Linked DNA regions of Arabidopsis thaliana. The protein of the gene in region 1 interacts with the protein of each later gene in a pairwise test. Each region holds a gene or a part of one and is shown on either strand. Other genes may lie near its edges.

Region 1 (3,520 bases):
CTGTGCGGTTACCTGGAAACTACCATCTCCAATACAAGCAATGACACGCCTGTTTGGCATGGCTTGAGCATAGCCTAGAGTAGCACCCACTGACCAGCCAATTGATCCGTACTGCATTTGGAATTCGTAACCGCATCCTTCAGGGAGCTTCAGCTTCTGACAGTTGAACCAGGAATCTCCTGTCTCAGCAAGCACAGCAGACTCAGAAGAGAGCATATTCTGAATGTGTTGGAACAGTACATTAACCCTCAAAGACTCATTCGGGTTATCTCTCAAAGGCTTTCCTTCTGGGACATAGATCCTGTGATAATTCTCATAAGAAGTGTTGTTGTGCTTAATTCGTTTAGCCAACTCGCTTAGAAAATCCTTCATAAGAACACATCCAAACGCAGGTCCGTTACCGATAGTAACCCGATCAGGCTGAACGATGATTGCCTTCTCCTTCTTGAGAAGCAGAGAATACCCAACAGAACTGTAATCGTTGAAAATCGGACCTGCAAACAGATAAGCATCCGCAGATTCAACGATTTCAGCACAAAAAGCTGTACTCACAGCTCCCCAATACGTCCCTATAAAATGCTTGTGATGCTCAGGTACTTGTCCTTTAGCAGAAGGCATCACAGCAAGACCATAGCCAGAAGCATCAGCAAGCTCAACAAAAGCATCCGCGGCTTTCGCAACCCGCATTTTCGGCCCACCAACAAGAACTGGCTTCACAGCTTTGTTCAAGAACTCAGCAGCTGCCTCCACCGCCGCATCTAAACCAATCTGATTGCTAACCTTCATCGGAAGCATGAACGGAACAGGATGACGACTAAACGTCGGAAGAGGAATCGCCGGTAAATTACAGCTGATACTGATATAAACAGGTTTGCTTTCTTTCAAAGCAGTTGAAATCGCAGTATCGATAAGTTCATGAGCCTCTTCTAAGTTATTAATCACAGCTTGAAAACAAGTAACAGCTTGAAAACACCTAAGCTCTTGAGTGAAATCAGGTAAACCAATTGTATGATGAAGAATCCTATTGGTACCGTAATCGTTGGAGTTTGGACCACCGACGATGCAAATCAGAGGCAGATTCTCACTGTAAGCACCGGCGATCGCATTCAGAACACTCAATCCACCGACGGTGAACGTAACGACGCACGCACCAACACCGCGAGATCTAGCGTAACCGTCAGCAGCGTATCCGGCGTTAAGCTCGTTGCAGCAACCGATCAGCTTGAGGTTTGGTTCGGCGATTAGGTGATCGAGAAGCGTCAGGTTGAAATCACCAGGAACGGAGAAGACATCGGTGACGCCGATTTCGACTAACCGTCTTGCTAGGTAACGGCCAAGAGTCGCGTCGCAGGGGCTGACGGTGGTGGAGTGAAGTGGACTTGTGTTTTGAACGGTGGAGACTCCGCCGTTTGGAGGACCGCCGATATCGTGGTTGGTCGGGTTACACGCGTCGATAGATCCGATCTTAGTGTCCATAGTGGTAACGTTCGTTTCAGAATTTTCGAACAATAGAGCTATGAGAAAATTGGAGAGAGCTCGAGGTAAAAGTACAGTTTGAAATATGAGATTAGTGGAAGATACTTAATTATAGACGTAAAACAACGGTGGCTAAAGTAATCAAACGGTGGTATGAAATAGGCGGCTAATAAGATATTTTTAGCCGCAGATATTTATGTGTCTCTGAGATTGACACGTGTCCTTATATAGTTGGATATTGGAGAACAAGTTAGAAAGTTCACGTTGAGAATAGTTGTGAGTCCGCAGAGAATAATTGCTCTCATGCGCAGCCCACAAGGGCATCATAGGACCCGATTGGATATAGGATCCGACCCGGTTCGTGTCAATACCACGTGACTCAAAAAGAAACTCCCGCTCTTGGCGACTTTTCGAAACCCTAAAGAGACTCGTATTTCCCCCCTAACGCCGATTTTCCCGCCGCTCTCACTCAATTACAAAAATCCGTAGATCCCCAATCTCCAATCACATATCTCCCACAATCTCTTTCTCGCTCTCTCGATCATCAGATTCTTCAATCTCTTTCACCAAGCTTAACCAAATCGTTACCATGAAGGATATCTCTAAATCTCCGGCGAGAAGAAGCGACGGATTCCACCGCTACTTAAAACCAGGAGCGCTTGCTCAGATCCGAAACTCGAGAATCAACGCTAGATCTACTACATCTCTCGTATCTCGCTCCTCCCTCTCGCAGCTAGTAGATCCGATTTCACCATCTGAGAACTCGGTTGATGAAGCAGCAGCGGCTTCGCGGAATCTGACGATAGATCAGGTACCACATCTTCTAAGAAAGATCTATGGTCCTTACAGTTATCAGAGGAAGAAATTAGCCGCTGCTAGATCTGTCTCGTCGATGATGATGATGAATATCAATCCTCCTATAAACTCAGTTCTTGTTGAACCCAGTAGTGATGTTATTGCTCATTGAGTTAAACTAGTTTCTACCAAATCTGTAATCTGATGATACAATTCGGGTAAAATGTTTAATACTATCATAAGACTCACTATATGAATCATTAAATTATCAATAAATTGTGTGTTTTCAATTGATGAGTTTATCTTTGTTAATTTAATGTTTGTGTTGATTTGATATCTTACGATTTGGATTTGACTATAGATTCCTTCACTACATATTAATGAACACTTACATGAGTATCATTTTGGGATTCTTAATGATGTATATGTAACTCTTAAGTGTTGTAACTGTTTTGAAAGATTAGCCAAACACTTAAAGATTCGAAGAGTAATGATATAAGACTACATATATTTTTCTCAAATTTGTTATCATCTTGTTAGATTGTAATTGACATAGGCTATGTTACCTCAGTCAATTCTCTGCTTTGCTTAATCTAAACATCTCAAATCTATAGGTTTTGATTATCTCTCTGTTTGTTGTGATGGGTAAAAATGTTTGCCTTCTGCTATTATCAGACGCTATTGTCTCAGACCAAATGGTTACCTATGTTTGTCGATGGGTGTTAACAGATTTCATTTGCTTGGTGGTATTACCGCATATGGAACATTGGTCTTGGTTTATTTAGTCTCATCATTCGATGTTAATAAGTTTTATCTATATGCTTTCTTTCATTTGTTCTAATGGGTAATGATGGTTATCTATATGTTGCCTTTAGCAAACGTCGCTGCCCATATGGTTGAACTTGAATCCTGATCCAACTGAACCTCTTTACCCTCTGATTATGCAATCGGTTATTAATTGATGTTGATATCCCCAAGTACATATGTATGTTATATGTAAGAGACCATTCATAACTTTCACTTTCTACCCTTCAAAGTTTTATTTAACTCTCTTCATTGTCAAATCCTTCATCTTTACTACTTTTTCAATATCTCCCCATTATGTATAAATTTAATGCATCAAGTACTACAACTATTCCACATGTGCATTGATAAATCAACCTCAAAATAGAGGTAAAAGAGAGAGAGAACCACTTTTTTGAAAGGAGTGGAATTGTTCTCGTATCACGAGATTACATAAACGTGAGTC
Region 2 (3,945 bases), on another chromosome or scaffold:
AATGGGTCGGATCGAGTTTAGTCAGTTCAATAAATTAAGATGAATAAGTCAATAATTATTTGAATGGGTTGATGCAATTGGTAAGTGTTTTCAGGATTATCGTTTGTTTCCCAAACAATTTTTGTAAATTAAAAGTTTGATATCATTTGTATGAAGATGATATATCAAAAAAAAATTTTACTAATACATTACTCATTCTAAATCAATAAATTATCAGTGTCTAGTTGTCTTTTTCTGGTATATTTTTTTGTCCATGTTAGAAAAAGCGTAGTTCTAATTAGTGATTCACCAAATTCGACATAAGGCAACAAAGTGGAGTACTTATCAATAATTTTTGAAAATATAAAGTAGTAGTATCAACTAATTTGACATTTTGATAATTATCAGCTAGTCTTATCACATTAATGGATCATTAACTTTCTCCAAACTTATCATCAAAAAGGGTCCACTCCGTTTTACGATATTTAAAGGAGTATACATGGGTAGATCTCACTATCTCAGTATAGAACAAAGGACCATTACCTAGATTGATTGTTCTACGTTATGCGCCTTATGCCCTCTTGACAATAAAAGTGAATATAAAGTACTTTAGTAGAACATTGATTCTTTGATATATAATTAGCTCGGGTTTAGCAAGATAATTTAGTAGCAACCAAAAAAAAAAAAAAACACATCACAAGCAGAATTAATCAATTGTTGTTCTGCAGCGCTTAAAAGTGACTAATTCTCTTCTTCTTTTTCTATAGTAAAGATGGTTCGTATCCGTTTGTTTATTATAGAACGTGGGTTCTTCTTAGAATATTGTATTCGCAAGCCATATACTATATATCTATTTTAAATTATTATACATTATATTTTTACAAAATTAGTTGACAAAACTAATAATAATACTATACATGTAAATTTTTTTTCTTTTCTTCTTCTATATAACTCACGTTCTGCATCCAGTTTGAATATGAATAATAACATATATCAGCAGCACTATGCAAATCACAAGCCTACAAATATCTAGTAATAATGCAAGTTTATACTAAGTTTTACAATAAAAAGATGCGTAAGTAAATTAAAATTCTAAATAAAATGACCTATAGTAGTATTTTCTCAAGTAAGAGAAGACTAAATAGTACTATTTCTCATTTTTACTTATACGAAAACCTTTTAATTAAGTTACTAAAACCATAAATAAGTTAGTAACATGATAATAACATTTATCAAATAACTTTTGTTTAAACATAACCTCCACGCGCCTTAAAGGGAATGTAGGATTCGTTTTAATCCTTGTGTACCCAACTTCCACTTGACATTTTTTTTTTTTTTTTTTTTTTGTTAAATGATACGTTTTCTTTAGCTCGTATATAATAGTATCTGATAAACAAATTGACCAAATGTTATCTCTTCTGTTAATCTTATCTCATGCTTTCAAATATAAGAATTCCTTCTCTAAATTTCTTTTGTATTATCCGATTGGAGCCAAACAAAAACTGCGACGAACCCCTAGTTTTCTTTGGTAGATCTTATGTAAGGATAACCACTTACACACATAAATTTTTTTGTCGGCATTTGTGTATATGTAATAAATAGTATTAATTTACTTAAAAAAGAACATATTATTCAAATAATAATTATTATATTAATGATATAATAAAGGGGACTGTTTCTCCGCTAAATTCTCGGTGTATGTCTTTGCTTTTACTTTCCTCGTTCAATGAGAGGACCAAAAATTTATTGCAGAGTCGCACATGAATCTCAAGCTTCTCTCTCCTTTTTTTCCCATAGCACATCAGAATCGCTAAATACGACTCCTATGCAAAGAAGAAGCTACTTCTTTCTCTTGCCCTAATTAATCTACCTAACTAGGGTTTCCTCTTACCTTTCATGAGAGAGATCATTTAACATAAGTCACCTTTTTTATATCTTTTGCTTCGTCTTTAATTTAGTTCTGTTCTTGGTCTGTTTCTATATTTTGTCGGCTTGCGTAACCGATCACACCTTAATGCTTTAGCTATTGTTTCCTCAAAATCATGAGTTTTGACTTCTCGATCTGAGTTTTCTTTTTCTCTCTTTACGCTCTTCTTCACCTAGCTACCAATATATGAACGAGCAGGATCAAGAATCGAGAAATTGATTTGAGCTGGCGAATAAGCAGTGGTGGGATAGGGAATTAGTAGATGCGGCGGCGATGGAAGGCGGTTACGAGCAAGGCGGTGGAGCTTCTAGATACTTCCATAACCTCTTTAGACCGGAGATTCACCACCAACAGCTTCAACCGCAGGGCGGGATCAATCTTATCGACCAGCATCATCATCAGCACCAGCAACATCAACAACAACAACAACCGTCGGATGATTCAAGAGAATCTGACCATTCAAACAAAGATCATCATCAACAGGGTCGACCCGATTCAGACCCGAATACATCAAGCTCAGCACCGGGAAAACGTCCACGTGGACGTCCACCAGGATCTAAGAACAAAGCCAAGCCACCGATCATAGTAACTCGTGATAGCCCCAACGCGCTTAGATCTCACGTTCTTGAAGTATCTCCTGGAGCTGACATAGTTGAGAGTGTTTCCACGTACGCTAGGAGGAGAGGGAGAGGCGTCTCCGTTTTAGGAGGAAACGGCACCGTATCTAACGTCACTCTCCGTCAGCCAGTCACTCCTGGAAATGGCGGTGGTGTGTCCGGAGGAGGAGGAGTTGTGACTTTACATGGAAGGTTTGAGATTCTTTCGCTAACGGGGACTGTTTTGCCACCTCCTGCACCGCCTGGTGCCGGTGGTTTGTCTATATTTTTAGCCGGAGGGCAAGGTCAGGTGGTCGGAGGAAGCGTTGTGGCTCCCCTTATTGCATCAGCTCCGGTTATACTAATGGCGGCTTCGTTCTCAAATGCGGTTTTCGAGAGACTACCGATTGAGGAGGAGGAAGAAGAAGGTGGTGGTGGCGGAGGAGGAGGAGGAGGAGGGCCACCGCAGATGCAACAAGCTCCATCAGCATCTCCGCCGTCTGGAGTGACCGGTCAGGGACAGTTAGGAGGTAATGTGGGTGGTTATGGGTTTTCTGGTGATCCTCATTTGCTTGGATGGGGAGCTGGAACACCTTCAAGACCACCTTTTTAATTGAATTTTAATGTCCGGAAATTTATGTGTTTTTATCATCTTGTGGAGTCGTCTTTCCTTTGGGATATTTGGTGTTTAATGTTTAGTTGATATGCATATTTTGGTTTCTCGTGTTTATTTCTTTTCTTCTCATATCTTCGGTAGATGTTACATGTTAGAGAAATGCATGTGTCTCGTTATGTTAGAAAATTCCTTTCCATATATGGCTTTCTTTTATTCATAGCTAGGGTTTCGTGTTGTACCCTATAACTATTATTATAATTAGCTCGATTTGATAGATATATAGGTCTAGACTATTCAATAATGAGTTCGTTTGTTCTTTTAAGAATTTTGAGCTTCACGGCGTATTCTTGATGAAATATTATGTGGGCACATCTCAGGCGCTCATTTGAATATTTTTACAATACGTCAATACGTTACCTTAATCATAGTATAATATAGTTCTTTCAACTTTTTAACAACCTCAATGTAGTATTCATTATAAGGTTAGAAAATTATTATACATATTGATCAATATATACGTTTTGTGCATCTAAATTCATTATTCGTACCATTTGAGTACTTGTAGCGTCTTTTAGCCGAGTATACCTTTTAAGATCACAACTTCTGTGTCATATCTATCTATCTATACGGTGTTATTGTGTTAAGAGTACTGTCATATATACCCATCTATATATAAGGTGTTAAGAATATGCTTACATATTGATCAAAACGTGCATCGTTCTAAATTTTGTAGTTAACCACTTGCCTGATTAGAACGTCTTTTTAGCCGTTTGTACTTACAGTTGAAAATTCCATTGATTGGTGTAATTGGCTATTTAATTACGACA

The links.
Region 2: the proteins of AT5G54970 (region 1) and ESC interact in a two-hybrid assay, tested with the Arabidopsis thaliana proteins (one large-scale study listed by BioGRID).

What each region holds. Positions count from the first base shown.
Region 1 is NC_003076.8:22,311,206-22,314,725, forward strand, and holds AT5G54970 (uncharacterized protein), read left to right. Parts: upstream 1-1,770; 5' UTR 1,771-2,065; coding exon 2,066-2,443; 3' UTR 2,444-2,914; downstream 2,915-3,520. Other genes in the region: PDC2 (pyruvate decarboxylase-2), read right to left, coding at 1-1,476.
Region 2 is NC_003070.9:7,270,845-7,274,789, forward strand, and holds ESC (Putative AT-hook DNA-binding family protein), read left to right. Parts: upstream 1-1,711; 5' UTR 1,712-2,179; coding exon 2,180-3,115; 3' UTR 3,116-3,228; downstream 3,229-3,945.